Caenorhabditis elegans: one gene and its partners. The protein of the gene in region 2 purifies or fractionates together with the protein of the main gene of each other region. This does not show direct contact. Each region holds a gene or a part of one and is shown on either strand. Other genes may lie near its edges.

Region 1 (7,347 bases), on a different chromosome or scaffold from region 2:
TCTGTAAAATTGGAAAAAAAATTGTTCCGAAACTTTTTAAAAAACTCACCTCCAGAGCATAAGTTCTTGAGTAAAATTTCCTAGTTCGCCCTTTTTCGGTAGGCATTTTTTGGGGCGAGAACGAAAATGTTGGAAAATAATCAGTTAGTGTCTTTTTATGCTCAAAAATAGTATGGAGAGATTAGAAAGTCACGAACAAAAAGGTGGCAAATAACTAGAGAGTGTGTGTAGTCAAGAGACGGAGAGATACGTGAAGCATGTATGATTTGTGGTTTGCTTTCTTTTAAAAAAATGAAATGGAAAAATAGACAAGATTTTTATCTTTGTTAACAGAAGATTTCAACGAAATGGTTTTTTACTCAAAAAAATGTACATTACGTTTTGGTTATCAGTATTTTGTTGATAACTCAATAAATTGAGTCCATAAATATTTGCTCCTTACTTTGTGATGAAAATGAAATAGATAGTAAGCAATTTTGAGAAAGCGAAAATTTTCGTTTCAGGTACCAATTTTTTGGAACCCGAAACTGGTGTCGAAGGTATAATTAAATAGGAAATATATTTTTTTTTTAACTTTTATATTTCAATTGGCTGAATTTTTATTATTATAGCGAGACTCGTATTTAAAATATTACCTCAAGTTTAAAAAAAATTAGCTTAGAGAAATATGAAGAGTTTAAAGTTGTAAATATCTCCTCTTTTTCTCTAAAAGGCGAAAAAATAAATAAAATTTTATTTTGAGCAATGTTTCAAGAAAAGTTATCGATAATTAAAATCTAACTTTATGAGTCCAAATACTTCATGATAAGTTTTTCTGAATGTTCCCATAAAGCTTCTTGAAGTTCTTCGTCTCTTGAAACTTTTTTGTCCAAATTCTTTTCATCATCCCAACACGATTCCCAATACTTTCCGGACAGTTCTTTCACTTCAGGATGTACTGCACAATAAAGACTTGTTGCTGCTCCCTGGCTTGCATTCTTTGTAAATGGGATTGATAGAAAGTCAGCAATGCTCCATAAACCAAAATCTCTATGAAGATCTGTGCGAACTCCAGATCCTGGATGAACTGCATAAACACTTATTCTATTTTTAAATTCATCTCGATGCAATTTGAATGCGGTTAGAATGTTACACATTTTTGATTTTGCATACAGGCGGAAATACCATTGAGTTGCTTCTTTTGGACAAAGTGTGTCAAGCTTTTCCACAATTCTGGAATCAGGTTTGACGCATGTATGCTTGCTGAGCATTGATGTAACTATTACAATTCTTGATGGTGCTGATTCTCGAAGAACTGGCAGAAGCTCCTTAATTAACTGCAAGAATAATTCAGTTAAGATCGGGTTTTTTTTGTAAAAAATCATACAATAAAATGAGCAAGATGATTGATTCCAAAATGAGCTTCAAATCCATCGGATGTTGTTTTTTCACTTGGACCAAAAACTCCAGCATTCAAAATTAATCCATGGAGTGGCCTAAGAATAGATCAAAGATAAGGGAGGCAGGATTAATAAAATACAATATTTAAGTGATGAGTTTGGAGGATATTAGTTTAAAACGGAAATAACTTAACATGGGTTTTCAAAATTTCACTAAAATTTTAGATCTCTGATTAAAACCCGTCTTGTCTCAGAGAAAATTTGAATATAGAGACACCAAAATATTTCTCCATTTCTAACTTCGGTTTTTCGGAACTCTTTAGATCATTTTAAGTTTTTAAATGTATCAACTTTATCGCTTACCATTTCTGTTCTAAGTATTCATCTGCTGCCTTCTTCACAGATGATAGTGAATTCAAATCACATTGAACAATATCAATTTGAGCATTTGGAGTTTCAATTAGGAGAGATTTCTTCGATGCTTCAGATGCTGTATAATTCCTGTTTATCATTACAACGTGAGCTCCTTTTAAAATCAATGCTTTAGCAGTCTCAACTCCGATCCCAGATGTTGTTCCAGTAATTGCAAATGTTTTACCAGAAAGGTCAATACCATCCAATACCTGAAAACGGATTCAATTATAGCAAGAATTTGAAACAGATTAAAAACACTAGGGAGTAGGACATCATCGAATTTTTAAAACTTAAATTTAGGAAATTGATGAAACATTTAATACTAAAAGAACGCTTACTTCTAGTGCATTTGTTCTTGAATGAAACTGCCGTTTCCTCTTACCATCAGCAACCATTCTGAAAATGAAAAAATTGATGAGTTTCTGAATTTCCTGTTTTATATTGAGAAATTATGATGTGAAGTTCAATGAATATTGGTAAAACTGTAGCTAAATTGACATATTTATCTCTATATTCATGTCATATTTTCAGGTGAAACGAGGAAAATGATCGATGCAAGTTGAATGATTTTTCATTTTCTTATCAGTAAAGTAGTACTTTCGAATAAGAAAAAAACTTACTATAAGATTCGCCTTATTGGAATTAAAAATCACACTAATTTCCCTATTTGTCTTGCGGTTTAATTTTAAATAGCCGAAAAAAATAGTAAAAATAGAAATAGTGTTACAGAAAATATTTAACAGATCAGTGCGGAATTTGCTCTGGAGATATTTTAACAGAACTTTTTGTGGGCGTGAAACAGTTACTACATTCAAATTTCTTTTCCAAATAATGGTTAAATAATTCCTTCAAACAGGTTTTTACGAAATATTGCAAACAATTTATTGTTATTTAAAAGAATTTATTGAAACAGTTTTTAAAAGTTATTGAAGAGAAAGTTTGAGAACTGGCGCGGCAACTCCAGAAAATCCATGATCCGTTTTCGTTTTGATAATTTTCTGAAATTAATACTTTTTCAATTCGGGAATTTCAGGAATTCAATACCGTTGGATATTCAGAATATGATCCAACATCAGCTTTTGTGAACTTTTTGATGACCAAATGTCCGTTATTCTCTTCATAATTTGACGAGTCAATAGCTTTTCCATTAGCATCCACAAACACTCCTTTGTTTTCTCCTTCGAAATGGAAAATCTGTTCGCCAGCGTCAACGGATCTCTGGATTGCCTTGGCTCCTTTGAAAAGTTCAATTTGCACTTTTTCGCCATCCTAAAATGGAATTTGTAAAATACTACTTGGTATTTCAAAATAAGAAAACTTTTGAAGTTTCGAGTAGTTTTGAGAAATACATTTAAAATTTCCTGTAGAAGCATGAACAACAGTTTTTAAACTATTGTCAGATAAAAAACTTTACAAACCTTAACTTCTTGAACTGCAATTGATCCTTCTCCAAACTGAAGAACAAAGGCAATCAGTATAAACGAAGAAATCAAAAACCGGCTCATTCTGAAAATGATAAAAAAAATTTAAGGAAAGCTTTTATTGAAAACAATTCAAAAAGCTCCTGAAACAAAGTTTTCTCAGATGATTTTGAGAGAAAAAAGAATGAAGAAAGAAAACATCTCTAGAACCCATTAAATAGTGACGAATGAGACTTGATTTATTGGTCACCTGTTGACTGAATAGAGGTCACGCCTATTTCTGTTCTGACTCACATTTTTGTTTATTTTTGCAAAGTTTGCACGAAATTGTTTTAAAAATTTTATTTAGAGAAATTATTAGAACACATTCCGAATGAAATTTGTTTATTGCAGGGAGATATCAAGAGTGAGTCCTGGAACAGCGGAGATGGATCCATCAGCGTGCTTGGTTTCGGTGTTTTTCTGAAATAAAACATTTCTAATTATTTCTCCCACTGAAAACTTACAGCTGGGTGCTCGGAGTAGGTTCCAACATCGGCCTTGGTGAACTTCTTAATGATAAGGATTCCGTTATTAGCTTCATAATTGGTTGACTCAATCTTCTTTCCCTTAGCATCAACAAATGATCCCTTGTTATCTCCGTCAAGGTGGAAGATTTGATCTCCACCGGCAACGGTTCTCTTGATTGCCTTGGCTCCCTTGAAAGCATCGATTTCAACTTTTTCTCCGTCCTGAAAATGATTTTTTGTTATTTTTCAAATAGGAGTTACAACAAACCTTAACCTGCTGTTGAGCAACGGCAGCATCGGATATGGCAAAGATGGCAACAAGGAGGAAAGCGGAAAGAATGAAGCGGTTCATTTTCTGAAATTTTATTTAATTTTCAAGAATGAAAAAAGTTTTGTGAATTGACACGAAATTCAGAAGAACAATTGAAAGAAAAAGCACAAAATCTTAAAGTGATGAAACCTTTCTCTTGGAACAACAATAAATAGTGTCGTCAGCCAGAAGATACTGCCTTCGAATGAAAAAAATAGGGTAAGCACCTCCGCTGGTTAAACTAAACGCCCAGCCCACTTTGCAATCAATCACTTTGTTTTTATCATTTGTTTGTTGGCTAGAGTGAGAGAAAATATCCTTCTTGTTATCAGAGTTATACAAAAAATCCTACAGAGTTGGAACACGGAACTAGAAAATGAGGATTCGTTTCCTTAGACTGTTCAAAGAATGTCATTTGGAGAAGTATTGAAAATGGAACAATCAGGAAGTTTATTTGTTCTTAAGATCAATGTGAGAACACTATGAAAGTTCACAATGATGGGATTGAGAAGGTCGTGTTTTGAGGCGCGTAGCTTTTTTTACTGATAGATGTGAAGTTTACAGGATGTTTAGTCGATTTTTAATATGTCGTTTTTTAGTTGGAAAGATAATTTAATTGATAAATTAGAGTACTTTAGAGTTCCAAAAATTACTGATAATACATAATTATGCCTCAAAAAAATTACGTGTATGTGTAGTTAGCTTTACCGCTAATAAGAGTTTAGTAAATAAGAAAAGAGGTGAATCGAATGTGTCTTATCTGAAACCGATTTATGCCATTTTGTGGCCAAGCAAACTTTTATAGTCCCTATCTTAATTGAATTATGTTGTGATGGAAAGTAAGAAATCAATAGAGCGGAAATTTTCTTTTTTGAATTTTTTTAACTGATCAAAAACACCTTCTATATTTTTGATGAATTATTATTTCTAATTCACAAAAGACGAGATTGTGTGCTCAAGATTGAAACAGGTTTTAAAACAATCAATTTGAAGGCGAACTTGAAGGCGACTAATAATTTTTAGGACTAGAAAAAAAAACGGTCTTATTATCAGAATATTACAACGCATAATAAAAAATTTAAACATCAGATATAAAATATACGTTCTGTGAGTTAAATGAATAACGTTTCAAAGGCTGAGGCCTTACAGATTCTTCAGCTCTTTTTATACTCTACAAACTTTGTGTTATTCTTGAAAATTTTCCGACCTTCGGATCAGTTTCCGTCACAACAAGTGAATGAGTCAGTAACAACAGTTGACACTTTCATCGTTAAGATTCTTTTCTTATCGTTCCAACTCATAAAAATGGATGAAATGAATTGTGAAAACAGGATTTCGAAGTGTGGAAATTTTGAACATTCTTCTAAAAAGATCAAATTGATCTGAATCATCAGAGTATATGAAAAACGTACAAAAAGTTAAACAATCAGATGCATTTGTTTGATTATTTTGAAAACCTATCGTCTACCGAGATTGACCTAGGCTATGACAAAATGATAACAAAATAAATAAAACTGTTAATATTCATGTTTGCACAATCCATTACAAATATATATAAAAACTTTGCCATGAAGGAATTTTGAATTATCCAATAAGACTTCCTGAAACTTTTTGAAAGTGGAGTATTCTGGGGAATTTTATTAAACTTCACCATATCATTTCCCTTTAAGGGACTATTTTTTCAAGTGAATAACATGTCAGTGGTTGACTATCATTTCATTCCTGGATTAGTTGTTCCACATCGTCCCATGTACACCATCACTCTTCTTAGCTTGCCGCTTTTTTCGACGTCTTCTTCTCCTCCTTCCAGTCACATTCAAATCATCACCATCTATCATCAGTCGCCTTTTTTGGCTCACATTTTGTTGCTTTTTGCCCAGAAAAGGAATTTATTATTACCAGAAAAAAAAGGATTGGGATGAAGGAAAAAAGGGAAACATTTATGGAGGAAATATATAGCAAATGACAAATTGGCAGAATGTTTTGGAAATCGTACGGTAAAAAGAAAAGGAAAGAAGCATTGGGTCTATGTTGATAGAATGGAAAAACTAGAAAATTTATCTACCCGTAATGAATGAAGAGTTTTTGAATAAATAAATTGTCTTAAAGAAATAAAACTACAAACGTTTAATCACCAGCATCGAGTCTTCGCTAATCGTACGATCGATGGTTGGTATTGATGAATAAGAAGTCGATCGACGAGTAGTAAGAATTGGAGTACAAATTGAAAGAGTTGGAGATGAATGACGCCAATTGGATAGGGTTATTGTTGGATCATCGTCATCTTCAGATATTTCAATATCGGTCTGACAATCATCTTCCCGAAAGGAATATGTTGGGGCAGGTGATGCAGGAAAATGTAAAAATGTGGAAGGTCCTGAAATGAATGTTGGAAGAAGTTAGAAAGTTTTGTTCAGTAGGTCACAGTTTCCCCGCTCGAACCTAGTTAAACAGTATATCACAGTGTTTTAGAATTACACGAATGTTGTGTTCTGAGAAAATTGTTTCCTAATGACTTTCTTATTATTCATAAGTGTTACTTTGCGTTTCTTCTCACTCTCAGACTTGGATTATTTGTTTGTTTATACGCTTATTTGTTCTGTTCCCACATTTAAACTATCACTTCAAAAGTACCTGAAACCAATGAAGGAACCGATCCATCCAAACCCGTTCTCTCAGTCTCAATAACATCTACACACTCGCCAATCGGCTCATAGTCGTTACGTGATGGGATTCTTGTTGATTTTTTGATGGGTTGCCTGAGCGACCGGCACGCGACCAGACGGACCCCTTTCGAATCGATGTTCCAATTCGTATTCTCCACGTTGTCGCTGGCTTTGAAAAAACCGAATACACATGAAGATGGCTCCTCCCTGGAAAAGAACAGAATGAATTAATTGGTGTATGGCATGGTGGCAGCTTATTGGTAATCTCTCTTCTTGATTGATGAGGGGAGCATCAAGTCATTAATCAAACTAGGTTTTACATTTCTAATGTTGTTGGAATGCAATAGAATAAGACACCTGTTATAAGTTATACAATGAATGAAGAAACATATTTCGGCGGGGAAGATGTGTCAAGAGCGACCACAAAATGATTAATTGTCAGCTGATGCTCAGAGATTGTGGCATAATTTGATTGTTGGCTCGACAATTGGGAAATAAATTTTGAAAAAAAGAAAAAGAAAAAGAATAAAGAAAACGAAGTTTCAAAAAAAATTATTACACATTTGACTGACACCTCAAATGTGTATATGCAGAAGATCTGATGCTGTCAACTATACTAATTCAGAGTGCACATTTGATTTACTCAAT
Region 2 (8,857 bases):
AATTTGTTCAAAAAAATCATTATTTAAAGTTAAATCACAAATTGAATTTTCTTTGATTTCAGGCGTCTTTCAGTGCGATTACGAAGCATAATGAGCCTGAAATGCAGTACTTTGACGCGTTCAAGCCAAGCTCTACAGCGATAGTCTGCATAGAGAAATGGTTGTATTTTCAGTCATATTTTGGAAATCAGCAGTACCAATCCACGTATAGGTAGGTATTTTCGAAACATTAACGAAAGTTCGGTTTCTGGATTTTCGAACACTACAAAAATTTACAATTTCAGGTTAAACATCTCTATTGAGCCGATAAATCAAAATGGGCGATTCAATCATACTTTTGACGCAGACGTCTCGATGTCGACTTCATTTGGAAATCCAAGACCAACAACGACAAGAAGCTCGGCGGGACCCAGAAACATGCAGTACAAGGAGGAGAACGCATGGTTTTCAAAGCAATTTTTAAAAATATGAAAAAATGTGTTTCAATTTTCAGGCTAGCAGATGCTGCAGCTGACGGAGACGATTGGAAGGATCCGTCAATGTCAGAGACGGGTCATAAACCGATTTCAGAGGGCTGCAAGACTACGATCAGCTTGTGGTGTATGAGTCCAGCATTGGTTAGTACAATATAAGTCCTATAATTCTATAAAACTAATACAAAAATTAAATTTCAAGCGTGAAAATCGAAATTTCAGTCTTTCTTCGACGCATTCAACGAAACACGTTCTATAGTCCTCGCATCGGGTACTCTGTGCCCAATGGACACTTTGAAAACCGAATTAGGAATGGAATTCAAGCAACAAGTAGAAGGAGATCAAGTCATTAATAAGGATAACATTTTCGCAGCGGTTTTGCCAATTGTAAGGAAAACATTTGGTTAGGTAGCGTCGTGTGGTGCCCTGAGAATTACCGAACGAATGAAATTTATTTCTTAAAGAGATGACAGGGCACGTGTTGTCAGACAGTCTCATTGCAGGCTGATCTACAAAACATGCGGGAATTTTACCCCAGAAAAATGTGACGTCAACACACTCTTCATCATGCGAAATCAGTTGAAAAGTCTGCGTCTCTTCTCATTTCTCGAAGATCAAACCAAAATGAGGCAGGAATTAGGATTTAAAATTTTTGATGCAAATTTATGTTAATTTACTTAGCATTAATGCTAGCATTGAAAAAGTATGTCATTCGTCCTATAAGTCTCCGGCTAGCATACAAGGTTTATTTTCGAAAATACGGTCTAAAAACTACCAAAATAAAAAGGAAAGCCTTATTAATTTAATTGATTTAAAAATTCCAGGGTCCCTTTGGAAATCGCATTCAGTGCACGTACCGCAACACGTCAGATCCGGAATCTTCATTTTATTGCGAGCTTGGAGCAATTATCAAGTACGTTGGCGGATTATTTTTCGAATTTTCTACTTTCAGAGAGACTTGAAAAAAATGAATAGATTTTCAACAAAAATGTCAAATTTTGTTTAGGTTATTTAAATCAAGACTTGTTTAAAACAAATATAATTTCTGAAAATTCAAATCGGAAAACTTAGTTTTTGTCTAATTTTTTATAAAAAGTTACAAAAGCCTTGAAAAATGTTCCAATTGTTGGAAAATTTTCGAATGTTAAGAAATCAGCTCATTTTTTGCAGGTATGTATGCAGTAACGTGCCAGCAGGAATTCTATGTTTTCTCCCCAGCTATCGAGTTCTAGATCAATTAAAACAATGTATGATCCGTAATTCAACAATGCGACAAATCGAAATGAAAAAAGTTGTGCTCTACGAGCCGCGAAGATCCTCAGAATTAACATCAGTAATGGATCAATTCGATGCGGCGATCTTCGATCCGTCTAGATTCGGTGCAAACATCAACGGATCTCTTATGTTTGCCGTTTTTCGTGGAAAAGTTTCCGAGGGCATTGATTTTGCCGATGATCGTGCGCGTGTGGTGATTTCTGTCGGAATTCCGTATCCAAATGCGATGGATGATCAAGTGAATGCGAAAAAGTTGTATAATGATCAGAATTCCAAGGAAAAGGGGATTTTGACTGGCGATGAGTGGTATACCACGCAGGCCTATCGAGCATTGAATCAGGCTTTGGGAAGGTGAATATATATACAAAGCCGCGTGGAATAAAAACTACGTTTTTTTTATTTAAAAAATGTTATGCTATGCTACAAATGTTCAAAACACAGCAATTTTCTACTGTAACACATAATTCTGAAATTTGCGCAACATTTTTGACGCACAAAATATCTCGTAGCGAAGACTACAGTAATCCTTTAAATGACTACCGTAGTGCTTGTGTCGATTTACGGGCTCGATTTTCGAATTTCCTAATCGAATTTTGACAGCAGTATTTAATTTGTCTTTTTTTTTCTGTATTGTTTTGTCATTTTTGTGTTAAAAAAAAATATTTAAATGAAAAACGTCCAATATTGCCTTATAGGAAACTCATACAATCGTATTTTTACATTATTTTCCGTCTATTGCCGGGTTTCACCTGGAAAACCTGCAATAGACGGGAAATAATGTAAAAATACGTTTGTAAATAGGAGTTTCCTCATCAAAATGAAGGCAATATTACACGTTTTTTTCTATTAAAACAGTTGGTTAATGAATAAAATTTTTTTAAGTACAAAAATGACTAAACAATACGAACAACGAAGGAAAATTGAATATCACTGTCCAAATTCGAAAATAAAATCGAGCCCGTAAATCGGCATAAGCGCTACTTTTAAAGAAATACTGTAATTTTCGCTGCGAGATATTTTGCGAGTCAAATATGTTGTAAAATACGCATTCTCAGGATTTAGTGTTCCCGTAATATCAAATCTATAATATCACGTGAAATAAGGGAATCAGTAGAAAAACCATCTGGCCAAATTTCACTACAATCTAAAATTCATTAAATCTTCAGATGTCTCCGGCACAAAAACGACTGGGGAGCAATGCTAATGATCGATGAACGCCTAGAACGTCAAACTGGAAATCTTGTGGGCGGAGCCTCGTCTGCTCGTGTCTCAAAATGGATTCGTGCTCAACTGAAAAGCTATCCGAGTTTTAAAGAATTTAATGCGAATTTTCGCGAATTCATCCAGCGTCGACACGCTGTTGAGAAAGCAAAAAAAGAGAATTTTTGTGAATGAATTAAACTTTTTCTAACTTTTTTTTTTCGATTAAAACCCCCGCCCCTTATCTTTTTTACGTGTAAAATTTATGATTTTTCCTCATTTTCTTAAACAATTTTTAGACGTCTTTTTTAAAAGTTAGAATCTCCCTAATGCATTGTTTTTACCCCTTTTTTCAAATCGATTTTCATAAAGCTTGGCCGAACTTTTTCTCTCTTCTCTCATTATCACTTATCAGTGTTTACCTTTACACCACTTGTACTTTGAACTGTGAAATGCTGACAACATTATAGCGTTCTCAGTAGCCTACGAGAATTTTTCTAAAACTTGCCTGGAACCAGTTTGAACGCAAAATTTTTCCCTTTCGAGTGTTCAAAATTAATTTTCAAATTTTCATTTTGTTCGAAAAAGGTTTTGGCGTATGACTCTTTCCGAATATCTTTGTGAAATTAAAAAAAAACTTCTCGGATTTAATATTTCAGCTTGAAATCTCGCACCCAAAACTTAACGCGCCAGAGGCAGTCTCATTGGGGCGCACCGTGCTGTGTCGATTTACGGGATTTTTCACCATCTGTCATGTTTTTTCAAAAACTTTTTTTTTGGTTATTATTTGGAAAATTGTTTTTTCCGTGTCAATTGAACATTTTATTATATCCAAATCACAACTCGATGAAAATCCGAATTTTCGAAAAAAAAAACGATAAATTTAAGGCTTTTTTAGTTTAAAAAATTTAAAGATATTCGGAATTAGGGGGTTGGAATAATTCAGTGAATGCGTCTTTGAGTATGAGTTTTTTGAAAAATTACCTATGTACTTGGAAAAAGGCCATCGAAATTAATAATATATTTTTGTTTCAATATTTATAATTTATTTAAAATTGTCTAATTTTTGCAGCCTCTGAAGAAAAAAAATGTTCAAACGAGTATTCAATCTCCGTTTTATTTCGAATTTCTCTCGCCGCCCGACATCTTCTCCAAAACTTCCGAAATTAATTGCAATCACTGGTGGAACCTCGCTTGGAATCGCATTTTTTGGAAAAACTGAAGAGAACAAGAATTTGGACTCAGGAAATGGACAATTAATTGATGGAAAACCGAAAAATTTCGATTTAATTGTTCGAAATTCGGATGAACTTTATGATAATTATCTAATCGATAATTGTTATAATATTTTGAAAAAGTGAATTTTCAATTAACTTTTAGAAATGTCCATTTTAACTTTTCTTTCCAATTTTTAAGATTTGAAAATTCCAATTGCTCCGAGCTTCTATGGCGTCTGGCACGTGTGGTTTGTGAGAAAGGAAAACTCTCAAAAGATCAAAATCAACGAAAAGAGCTCATTTTGGAAGCCTATGGAATTGTGAAAAAAGCTCTTGACAATGAGCCAAAGAATGGATGCTTTGGAGCACATAAATGGTACGATTTGGAGTTAAAACGCTATTTATTCCGGGTAGAACAACACAATTTTGCGAGAAAAAAAAACTATGACTGAGGGTGGAAATCGAAAACTGAGCACCTGCCTTTTTTGGCGGCTGAGTTTTAGCATTTTCTATGCCACATGGCTATCTTTAGGTATGCCATTCTACTGGATTACGTTGGAGAGATCGAGGGAAACAAATCGAGAATCGAAAAATCATTCCAAGTGCGGAAACATTTAGAGAAGGCGTTATCGATTTTCGAGAACGATCCAACAACGTGGCATATTTTGGGTAAGGGATTCCGGATTGAACAGAGAAAAAAAAAGAAAAATCATGTTAGAATTTATTCACGTGGAGTCAGACGGTCCCTTTTCGCTTTGATCTACGAAACATGCGGGAGGTGAGACGTAGACATCTCAACTGATTTCGCATGGTTAACAGTGTGCTTACGTCACAAATTTTCTGGGAAAAAATTCCCGCATTTTTTGTAGATCAAACCGCAATGAGACTTTCTGACACCCCGTGTTTATTCCGAATTAAAGCTCTACAGCTCACCGTTCAATCAACGGGGGCGGGCGGTGCTTAACCATTATTTTTTTTAGATATTTCTGCATTTCGCTTCGAGAATTAAAAAGAAAACCTCAAATTTCAGGAGTCTGGCACTTTTCCTTCGCCAATATGGGTTACGCGACTCGAATGGTGGCCAAAGCTATTTTCGCAACTCCACCAGCATCCACATATCAGGAGGCTCTACACTATTTCCTAAAGGCTGAACAGATTTCGGTAAAAAAATATCAGAATTCAAACACTTTTAGTGAATCTCTCATAGTCAATCAAAAACATACAAAAATGAAAAGTTGTCGACCAAATTTTTTTACACTTTGAACATTTTCCTCCACTTGGGAAGTAAATAGTGCCACGAAAAATTCAGATCATTATAGTTAAATTCAAATTTTCAGCCCGGATTCTACAGTACGAATACCTACTACATTGGCGAAGTGTACGAACAACTAGGACAAAAAGCCGAAGCACTTGATGCATTCAAACAATCATTCAAAATGCCAGTTGTGACTTCTGATGACGCGGTTATTCATAAGAAAGCATACGAGAAACTGAAGAAATATGGAGTCAAGGATACTGAAGTTGTTTAGATTGTGAAAAATATGTATTTGTAAGATGATTGTTGTAATTTTTAACAGAATAAAAATATTTATTTGAATTTAATAATTGTCTAATGTCAGCTAAATAATATTGTCGGAAATGAGGCACCACGGTTTCAAGATCTGGTGAAATTCCGGATCTACGTTTTCCGGAAATACGATTTCCGGATCTACGTTTTCCGAATCTAGCACCGTGCCAACCCACAAAACGCTTTTTTATTCACTCGACGCACGTTGTTTTTTGAAAATTTCTTCTAGAAGAAACGCTTAACAACACGCGACGCTTAACAACGGAGCATCGTTGTCACGTTTTTCTCCGAGAAAAATAGCGTTTTAAGAGTTGGCCAGATCCGGAAAACGTAGATCCGGAAATGGTAGATCCGGAAAACGGAGATCCGGAATTTTACCAGATCTTGATACCGTGGTGCGAGGCACCACGTTTTCAAGATCTGTTCAAAAACAAGATCTACGAAAACAAGATCCACCAAAACAAGATCTACGTTTTCAGGATCTGGCACCGTGCCAACTGCGGTTTTCTCGAAGAAAACGAAACAACGATGCTCCGATGTTACGTTCGCGTGTTGTTTAGCGTTCAAACGAATATTTTTTGAAATTTTCTTCTAGAATTTACGCAACACGCGTACGCACGCGTAGAGAAAACCGCAGTTGGCACGGTGCCAGATCCTGAAAACGTAGATCTTGTTTTGGTAGATCTTGAAAAGGTAGATTTTGTTTTGGTGGATCTTGTTTTCGTAGATCTTGTTTTTGAACAAATCTTGAAAACGTGGTGCCTCCGTGGTGCCTCTCGGAAATTCAATTGTATTGCTTTAAAATTCAAATTCTGCTCCTTCCCTCCATTTTATGATCTGGTGGCCTAGAATTCCACCCAACTCGTCCTCTGGCCGAGCGCGCGAAATCTTGCATTTTAAACTCGATTTCCCATGAAATTAACTTAAATTTGCCATTTTATCTAGTTTTTTCTTTAGTTATTTGATTTTCAGTATTTTCAGACAAGTTCGGTCATCGCCAGCAAGCTCAATGAGCTCCAAGGATGACATTCTTGCACAGGCGGTCGAAAAGTTTGTTTCAAGAATGGAGAAAGTATAAAATCTTCTTTTTTTAGTGATTCAAACTACAAAGAGCGGCTTGCCCTGATCAGATCAAATGATGAGATTGATGCGAAGCTTGGTTTCTCTAGATACACAGGACTACAGGAGAAAAAAGGATTTCTGATAAACATCCAACCTTCGGAGCTTGTCGACGAGCAAACCAAAGTTATTATTTCGGTCGTTGACTATTTCTTCATCAGTGATATGGACGAACGCTTCAAAATCAGTTACCCATTTCGACCGTATTTCTATATTGCCACGTTGGATGGATTTGAATTCCAAGTATCCAGTTATCTGTCCAAGAAGTACGGAGCCCAGACAGCAGTTGAACATATGGATCGGGAGGATTTAGATTTGAAAGATCATCTTTCTGGGTTGAAGAAGACATATATCAAACTCTCATTCACCAGCACCGTGGAATTGATAAAAATCCGTAAGGAATTAATGCCGCTGGTGCGGAAAAACACAGATCGCATCAAAAAAGAGTCGGCGTACGCTGACTATTTGGCGAGGAATCTGAGTGGAAAAGGAGGAGATAGTAAGGATCAACAGTTGAATGGTGACATCTTGAATCAAATTGTTGATATCAGAGAATACGACGTGCCTTTTCACATGAGAGTTTCCATCGATGAAAAGATCTTCGTCGGATTATGGTTGGAATCATCCTTTTCTTCTTTTTTAAATTCTAAATTTATAAATTTCCAGGTACGATGTGAAAGGAATTGGCCCGAACCGTGTTCCAACAATAAAGCGAAAAGATTTGCCCTTGTTCCACGCAAAGCCGAAAGTTCTCGCCTTTGACATTGAAACAACGAAACTTCCGTTGAAATTTCCGGATCGTGAGAGCGATGAAATTATGATGATATCATATATGGTTGATGGACGTGGATTTTTGATTATCAACCGAGAAATCGTGTCGGCTGATATTAATGCGTTCGAATACACACCGAAAGCCGAGTACATAGGAGAATTCACAGTCTGGAATGAGAAGGACGAAGCTGCTCTGATTCGGAAATTTTTCGATCATTTTTTGCAGGTAAATTCTACTTTTAAACTGAATTTGATTAGAATCATTTTCTTGCAGGTTCGTCCAAATATTGTTGTCACCTACAATGGAGATTTCTTCGATTGGCCATTCGTAGAAGCTCGTGCCAAGATCCGCGGATTCAATATGGAAAGGGAAATCGGATTTTCTAAGGATTCCGCCGATGAGTACAAATCACGAAATTGTATTCATATGGACGCTTTCCGATGGGTCAAACGTGACTCATATCTACCGGTTGGAAGTCAGAATCTGAAGGCAGTGACGAAGGCAAAGCTGAGATATGATCCAGTTGAGGTGGAGCCGGAACTGATGTGCAAAATGGCTCGAGAGCAGCCTCAACAGCTGGCCAATTACTCGGTTTCGGATGCAGTGTCCACTTATTATCTCTACATGAAGTATGTTCATCAATTTATCTTCGCTTTGTGCACAATTATCCCACTAGGAGCAGATGACGTGTTGAGAAAAGGATCTGGAACACTTTGTGAAGCTCTTCTGATGGTTGAAGCATTCCATAACAATATTGTGTTCCCGAACAAGTACACTGGACCAGAGGAGACAAGATTCAGTAAAGATGGACATCGTGTTGAGAGCGAGACCTATGTCGGAGGACACGTGGAAGCTCTGGAGGCCGGCGTATTCAGAGCGGATATTCCAGCAAAGTAAATTCAGGATTCATTTGAAAGCGAGAAAATAACGATTTTTTCAGATTCCGGCTTTCCGTTCCTGCTCTTGAGCAATTAAAATCCGAGATTCAAGAGACCCTTCGCAAGGAGCTGGCTCGAGAGTTTGAGGTCACTCTTGACCAGGTCGTTGACTTTGATGAGCAGTGCGCTGAAGTTCAAGATGCATTTGATGGAATGATAAATGTGCCAACACGCCTCGAGAATCCACGTATCTACCATTTGGACGTCGGGGCCATGTACCCCAACATCATTTTGACTAATCGATTGCAGGTTAAGATTTGGACTGATATATATTTAACTATTCTCTGATTTTCAGC
Region 3 (7,913 bases), on a different chromosome or scaffold from region 2:
ATCAGACATTCACTTCAAATTCCCAGAATGCGAAGTTCTCAGTAATCCAGTTCTCCAACTCGATGAAGTATCCTTCCGTTATAACGAAGATTCTCCCTATCTTTTCCGAAAGCTCAATCTCGGAACTCATGCCAACTCCCGGATTTGTATTGTCGGAGAAAACGGAGCCGGTAAAACTACACTGTTGAAACTTTTGCTCGATGATCTCCAACCATCCGTTGGACTTCGAAATGTGAATCGTCGTATTCGAATTGCCTACTTCACACAGCATCACGTTGATCAATTGGATATGGAAACATCAGCTATTGAGGTGTTGATGAAGAATCATCCTGGAAAGACTCAAGAAGATTATCGAGCAGCTTTGGGAAGATTTGGATTAGCTGGTGATATGGCTTTGCAATCTGTTGAGACACTTTCTGGAGGTCAAAAGTCTCGATTGGCATTTGCTAATTTAGCCTTGATGCAGTGAGTTTTGCTTGAAAATAGCAACATTTTCAAAAAATATTCATTTTTTCCTAGAAAAAAAAATTTATTCAAACTCCGTCTAATTCATAGTATTTTTCAGGCCAAACTACTTGATTCTTGACGAGCCTACTAATCACTTGGATGTCGAAACGGTTGAAGCTCTTGGAAAAGCGCTTAATGTTTTCAATGGAGGTGTCGTTTTAGTTTCTCACGACGAGCAACTCATCGAGCTTGTGTGCAAGGAACTTTGGGTTGTGAAGGATCGAATGGTGACAACTTTGGAGGGAGGACTCGAAGAATACAGAAAGCAAGTCTACAAGCAGCTTCAACTCACTGCCTAAATTTTTCCTGTTTTGTTTCGCATTCGGTTGTTTCCCATATTTCACCCAGTTTCCACGTTTTGTTACACTATTTAAGAATTCAATTTATAATTTTTGTTGAGAAAAAAGTTTATTGCTTTATTAAATTGTTCACTTCAAAATTTAAGTATGAGTGAGAGCTCTAGCCTGGAAAATAATGCAAAGGTCTTCCTTGCTCGGGTCATCATGAAGAAGATACTCGAGTTGGTAAGGCTTATCGTTCTGAAATTGGGGGTTTAACTTTCGAAGAATACACATCAAAATAACCTTGAGAAGATTGATGATAGCTGGAGTATCAGAGAAGTCGAGTTCCAAATTGATGACCTTGTTTTTCGGTTCAATTGGGCATGGTACTCCGTTGGTACAAGCATCGATGTTGTTCCTGGAAAAGGTTACTGTAGGTTACTGTAAGAAGCAAAAATCTTACAAAAGTCCAAAAGTTGGTACTGAAGACCATCCACAAGTAGCCATATTCCATGACCAGACCTTGATAGTTTGTTTAAGTCCAGGAGTAGTATAAGTTGAGGATGGATCATTGATGGATGTTGCAATGAGAAGTGGTTCAGTAAGACGGATTGGATATTCACTGTTACCTGGATTCAATTATACATTCGTAGAAACTATCAGAAAACTTGCGAACCACTCTTATCAGTTGGATTAACATTGGTCACCATAACTGGTCCATTTGAGCATTGCCACCAGTTGACCTTTGTCTCTGTAGTATTCGGCCATTGATCGCATGCCGACGAGAGAGCAAGTAGGGCGAAGAGACACAGACAACGAGCAAGCATCTGGAATTGAAGTAGAATTTTTCGTTTCGAAAGCTAGTGGATGTGATCTAAGTTGGAATAAAATAGTGAATCTGTAATTGGTTAACTGGGAAATTTGAGAAAATGGAAAACTAAATTGCAAAATGATCATCAAATTCGATAGGAAAAACTACGATAAGAGAAATATCAAAGCACATGGCAATTTGAAGAAACCACGCGTTTTAATAGTTTTTTGCATGTAATTGTGATTCTAGAATAAAAAAGAGGTCACAGAGAACCGGAAATATCCACAGGAAGTACTCATTTTCATTGAAAAAATTTCATATGTATATTGAGTATTCCTGAGAAATGCACCTTTCGAAGTCTCGCCACGATTGAAAATTTTGCTCACTCGTGCTATGCGCCTTTAAAACTTGGGTACCATACATTTTTATTTTTCATTACTTTGTTCAGCAACTTTAGCTTTATCAGCGTCTTAATATTACGTAGACGTCAGAAGATGAGAGTTTCCGTCATAATTTACGCAAATGGGTCTCGCCACGCGGAAAGCGGGTTACTGTAACACGTGTCAATATGAAGGCCGCTACTGCACCATGTTTTTCTAATACAATGAATAACTGATTCCAAGCTTTTTAAAATAAAATTATGATACAATGGAGGCCTAAGAAATTGACGCGTGGTAAAGTAACTCGTTGTACTCATAAGATATGAAGAAAATTTTCATTTTTGACGTCTATGCGATTTTTATATTCTTCTTCTATTTTGATCATTAAATCCGATGAATTGAAGGAAAGACAAAGTTTTAAAAAACCTGTGCAAGCACGTATTCTTCATACTTCCAACTTTAGGTACTTATTGAAATTTCTCAGTTTTCAAACTATAACTGAATCGGGAAATTATTAATAATTTCTGATTCCTTGTTTACTTGTTTGATTTTTGGTTCATTGCCAAAATGGCAAATATGCAACATTTTCCAGTGCGAATAGTTCTTTTTTATCAAAATGTTATCGCAACTTTAGTTCGATTTCGGAAATTTTTCCTTCAAATTGATAATGAACAAAAACCAACAAAAAGTCAAGATTATGTACATTTTATTGTTGTTAAAATATACGCCCGTGTTATAGTGCAAATATAATTAGAAATCTTAAAGCCAATCGCCAAATGGGAAAGCATTTTACTTAAGGAAGGCCCAAGCCTGGACCATCATGCATGAGGTGTCTCCGGATTGGTTGTCGTGAAGGATGTACTCGAGTTGATATGGCTGATTGTCCTTGAGTAAGGCGATGATTTGGTCGAACTTGGTGAAGTCAATGATGACGTCAAGTTCTTGGTTTCCTGGACGGACTGGGCATGGGACTCCGTTTGCGCAGGCGTCAAGGTCCTTCCTGGAAGATGAATCGTTATTTATTATTTAGAAGTCGAGAATAGCCTAAACAGTTCACCCATTCTAATCCATTAGAATTAACTTAAAGATATAAACTTACAAAAGACCGAGAGTTGGGATTGAGCTCCATGTGCATCCGTTCCATCCTCCATACTTCCAGATATTGACGGTGTTACGAAGATTTGGCGACACATATGTGCTCGTTGGGTTATTGATTTGAGTCTTGACAACAATTGGCTGACTCAAATGAATTGGGTACTCGTATTGTTTTCCGGTAGAGTCGTATGGAGTAGCATTCAAAAATTGAACTGGTCCAGATGAGCACTGCCACCAGTGCATCACTTTGTCGGTTCCATTTGGTGCAGCACAGTCTGCCAAGTTGTCGACAACTGGGAGAACAAAAGAAGTGGCAGCGATGCAAAGAACTGAGAGAATGACACACCTGAGAAGCATTGTGAGAGGCTGAAAGTTCAAGAATTCATTGAAAAAAATGACAGTTTTGAATGGTGAAATGGTGATAAGTAGTGATGATAAGGGAGTAGAATGCAAGTAGAATAACTTTGGGGAACTGGTTATTAAGAAGCGTAGGATCAGGCTCGGACTTCTGTTTAGACTCGAGCCCAAGTTAAAATGAATCTTGGTGTACATCATGACGATCTGCCTACAGCGTGAGTTCGGCTAAACTGTATTTTTCTACTGAAACGAATAAATGGTGAAATTATAAAACCGTTCGTGGCCTTAAATAACCAAAAGCGGAGTTTTTTCCCTACTATAGTCTAACAGAAAATCAGAAATATGACCTTCCACTCCTTCCCAAGCTCCTCATTTATACGTTTCAATTAATCTCCACCCCCTTCAAACATCCCGGGGCTCTTTCCTTATCAGACATCAACCCATTTTCTCTATTATGCTTGCTCTTCGGTATGTCCGCGACGTTATCAAAAACTTTTCTCTTTTTTTTTCTGAAACTCCCCTGTGCTTTCTCTAATTACTCCACTTCCTTTGCTCTCCAAATATACTCTATAATCAATTGACGTCGATGGAAAACTTGTTGCAAACACGTGCTGAAAATGACAATTTTGGGGCAGAGGGCGAACCGAACTCGATTTTTATTTTTTGGACACTGAAGTGGTAGCAAGAATGTGGTTTGAAAAGTTGTCCGGTTTAGAAAAAATGATAACGAATTTCGTAGAAGATTTGGGAGGATTAAAAAGTTTAATTTCCGCAATTCTTGCAAACCTGTCAAGTAAAACATGAATCGGTTCCGTTATCATTTGAAACTTGATCACTGATTGAAATATGAGTTTCACATAAAATATATATTTAGTCGATCATTTCCTGTTAGAATATTTGTTTATTGAGTTGCATTTTTGACAATTTGCACAGTTCCTGTTATGCGGCATTAAACCTATTTTGAGAGAATGTACGTACACAACTTTTTAATTATTTCGTTGAAACCAATTTACGTCTTATTGGAAAAATCTTTTCGTTTAATTAAGTTGGTCGGTAAAATGATGATAACTTTACAATCAGTTAAAGGAGAAGCAGGAAGAACGTACACATCCTATAGGTTTGAGGTTTTAAATCTTTCCAGAGCGAAATTTATATTGTTTAAGTTGCAAATAAATGTATGTATGGAAATTTATTTAATCAATCATGTTCTTTCAATTAAAAATATTTTAAAATTTCTCTGATAACCCAAAGTACCCTCTATGTAGAATACGAGACTATATAGTTATAATGGGTAGATTTTATTTTTTTTTTGTTGCACGAAGCGTTGTTGAAATACATTAAAAATCTGAGGAAAACATACGAAGACAATTGCGTAAAGCTATAAATAAGCCTATAATATTTGTAATTTACTCGATCTGTAATTGACGGGTTACTCTCATATTGATTTGTTCTATAATGGTAATTTCCATTTGAAACTCTACAAAAGTTCGAATGGATTTGTAGATGTTTCCTATAAGAACATTTTGGCAGTACCATTTCACCATTTACTTTGATAACCTGGGAACTTTATAAGAAACTTTTTTCCCAATTTTGGCATTCTTCGCATAACTAATTAAACCAAAAACTTTAGTCGATCATAGACTAGTTGATGGGTGTTTCCTCTCTGAAACATAATAGACCCTATGTTTTACAAACTATGTTCTATTGACTGATAACTTTTTCTTCTTTGTTCTTTTCCCCTTACAAACCGGTTCTGATAAGGGTAGTAAAATTCAGGAGCACCGCTAGCAGAAGTAGTAGCAACAACAGTATAAAGTACACGTTTCCTCCATGTGACCTATACTGCAATTTTCGGATTATTTGAATGACCTAGAACGAAACTACTTTCGATGACATTACAATTTTTAGTGTGTGATAATAAAAAAGTGATAGATAAACGTTTTTCGAGCAGAGCAGACATCAAAAGATTGAGAGCAAACAAGAGTAAATGCGCAATAGATTTCGGCGATATCCGGTTCAGAAAATAGGATGATATTTGTTTATTGGATTGTGATAAACATAGACTACAAGTTAGCCATTGTCATTTCTGAGCTAGGTGGTTTAAAAACTTGTATCAGAATTACTGTTTAGGTTTTCATTAGGTTTTCAACAACTTCAAATTTGTTTTTAAGCTTTCAAAACTTTCACCTAAAGTTGAATGTAAATAGATTTGTATTGGTGGTAACTTCACAAACACACTACACACAACATCATATTTTGAAGTTGACTTTTTTAGCACATTTTGGATTTAGATAACACAAAAATTCATTTCAAGTGGAAAGATCAAAGTAAACATGAGACCCTTGATTAAGATATAAAAGTCAATAAATTAATAAATTAGTATTCCCAATCCCAAAAAATTCACTGGTTCAAGCAAGCATTGGTTGAAGCAGGCTTCGAACTTGGCACTGCTCGATATTGAATGCTAAACGTCAACTGATTGTAGCGAATTATTCCACGAAGAGCAATCATATTAAGCTCAGAGGTGAACACTTGGTTTAGGATTGTGTCACAGCAGGTTCTGGAAAATAATTTTCGAACTGAAAATTCAATAGTATACCCTAAACTCACATCATTCCAAATAAGTCAAACTTTCCAAGATTAACTTCAATCGATTGCCATGGACATTCTTGCATACATATTGCTGCCAATGGAGTTTTTGTCATTTTGAATTCAATTTGTTGTCCTTCTGGAGCTTTGATATGCCAGTAACAATTGGTCGAATTGTCTGTGGAAGAAGAGAAGCTGGATGGGTCTCCGGCTTTTGCGTCGAAGGTTTCCCAAGAGGATGTAGCCTGAAAGCATTATGTTCTGTTAGTTCTCAAAAAGTTGTTTCAATCTACCTGAAGCACGGCTCCATTACAATTTGGAGCAGTACCAGATGGTAAGCTATCGCAGCTAGCTCCTGTGAAATAGCGCGGACATTTGCATTGATTACAGTTACGGGAGTCTGTGATTCCACAATTTGAACACTTCATTTGTATCTTGCATTGGCCTGGAAAAAATGAAAAGTGCTTAATGGCTAAATGAATAGTAATAAAATTTGGCTTGGTAATAGCTACATTTTACAGTCTACAGTCCGTCTACAGTAAGTTTATCCAATTTTGAACCCTACAGTACCCCATCAAAGAGTATATTACAAGACACATCACCCAATTGTGCTTACTTGTGCAATTGTACAACTTGTTCACTCCGATAATATCTGAAAATGCTGGTGCCTCTCGTTGTCCCATACTATTCTGGAATCCATTCTCCTTTGCCAAAATTGTATACTTCGATGAGTCAACAGCAAATGCATCTGTAATATTTTCATTACCAATTCAAATTAATTTTTGCTCTTACATGGGTAATACTGCATAACACTTCCATAATCATATGGCAAATTCAACAGCTGTGCCTGATCCACTGCCATTTTTTGAAAATTGTATGCCTGACTTGGAATGATATTGCTAAAGTCCACATAGACGTAGTTATCCCGATCGGCGCGTGATTGTTGGTGCCAGAAGCCAATGGCATGCATGAGCTCGTGGGTTGCAGTACCAAACTGAAAATAAATTGTTTTTAGAGCTCTTCATAGGAAGACATAAAACACTTGAATGTTTTCTGTAAAAATGTCTAAATATGAATAAAAATTACCGTATCACAGTTTGGCCCAACTGAAACCATTTGGTATGGCATGTCAACTTGCTTTCCGACATATGACCAACATCCTCCTGCAGATGATAAAAAGAGACGGTTTTTAGCATTATTGTCTTCCTGAAAAATTATAATTTGAAAAAGGAACCAATAGATTGTTGGAAACCTTGAAGCTCAGACAGCTGTTATCATTCCAAAATTGAATTGCTTTTCTGACATTGGCTATGTTGGTGGCGGCTGGAATATTTTTTCCCAGTTTAAACAAAAAATTTACTAGAACTTACATAATTTAGTATCAAATTGATAAAAGATCGGAACACTGACACTCCAAAAATTGGTAGTATCTACAATCGCTTGCCTCTTTGATCGATAATTTCCATTTTCAATTGCAGTTGCAATGTGTTTGGCTTGTTTCTCATTCAGCATGATGTCAGATTCAAATGTGTATTCTACAAAACACAGTTTCTTTTAACTCAAAAAATCGAAGAAACTTGCCGTTGATATCTTGATTCAGTTCTTCAAATTTCTTTGTCTGATTGTTCTTTGGACCGTAGTTTAAGGCAGCCTGGAAATATAACCTTTACAATTTACTATTTGGATAAAAATTTCATTGAAGGTTGGAGTATTTTTGATACCTACATTTAATTGTAAGTTAAACTAAAACCTACGAAAGTAACAGGAGGAGCAACACCTTGTCTTCCTTGAACCCTCGGAACACGATTCTCAAACGCCTTATCGATAATTCCACGAATCTTCTCTCGATTTGTAACTGAATCAGGATTATTGTCCACCAGAATCTTTTCCAGG

What was found.
Region 1: the proteins of F33H2.6 (region 2) and E04F6.8 fractionate together in Caenorhabditis elegans (co-fractionation; one large-scale study listed by BioGRID). This does not show direct contact.
Region 3: the proteins of F33H2.6 (region 2) and F42A10.7 fractionate together in Caenorhabditis elegans (co-fractionation; one large-scale study listed by BioGRID). This does not show direct contact.

What each region holds. Positions count from the first base shown.
Region 1 is NC_003280.10:7,208,082-7,215,428, forward strand, and holds E04F6.8 (Cuticle protein), read right to left. Parts: upstream 3,300-7,347; 5' UTR 3,299-3,299; coding exon 3,212-3,298; intron 3,063-3,211; coding exon 2,838-3,062; intron 2,792-2,837; coding exon 2,717-2,791; 3' UTR 2,670-2,716; downstream 1-2,669. Other genes in the region: dhs-7 (NAD(P)-binding protein), read right to left, coding at 1-1, 50-106; E04F6.15 (DeHydrogenases, Short chain), read right to left, coding at 783-1,316, 1,367-1,475, 1,743-2,002, 2,132-2,188; E04F6.9 (Periplasmic protein), read right to left, coding at 3,599-3,676, 3,721-3,945, 3,992-4,075; E04F6.10 (uncharacterized protein), read right to left, coding at 6,754-6,906.
Region 2 is NC_003279.8:15,011,759-15,020,615, reverse strand, and holds F33H2.6 (Regulator of microtubule dynamics protein 1), read left to right. Parts: upstream 1-4,020; 5' UTR 4,021-4,036; coding exon 4,037-4,305; intron 4,306-4,364; coding exon 4,365-4,541; intron 4,542-4,697; coding exon 4,698-4,834; intron 4,835-5,195; coding exon 5,196-5,326; intron 5,327-5,502; coding exon 5,503-5,694; 3' UTR 5,695-5,762; downstream 5,763-8,857. Other genes in the region: dog-1 (Helicase ATP-binding domain-containing protein), read left to right, coding at 63-211, 285-443, 494-617, 696-860, 1,298-1,386, 1,644-2,099, 2,915-3,143; pole-1 (DNA polymerase epsilon catalytic subunit), read left to right, coding at 6,742-6,782, 6,827-7,465, 7,518-7,848, 7,897-8,516, 8,564-8,810, 8,857-8,857.
Region 3 is NC_003281.10:6,175,247-6,183,159, forward strand, and holds F42A10.7 (MD-2-related lipid-recognition domain-containing protein), read right to left. Parts: upstream 3,441-7,913; 5' UTR 3,432-3,440; coding exon 3,079-3,431; intron 2,980-3,078; coding exon 2,769-2,979; 3' UTR 2,670-2,768; downstream 1-2,669. Other genes in the region: abcf-3 (ABC transporter domain-containing protein), read left to right, coding at 1-465, 566-806; F42A10.6 (MD-2-related lipid-recognition domain-containing protein), read right to left, coding at 948-1,046, 1,092-1,206, 1,252-1,417, 1,465-1,615; Zinc metalloproteinase nas-28, read right to left, coding at 5,832-5,991, 6,042-6,265, 6,314-6,465, 6,637-6,768, 6,813-7,014, 7,107-7,226, 7,273-7,343, 7,391-7,555 and 2 more.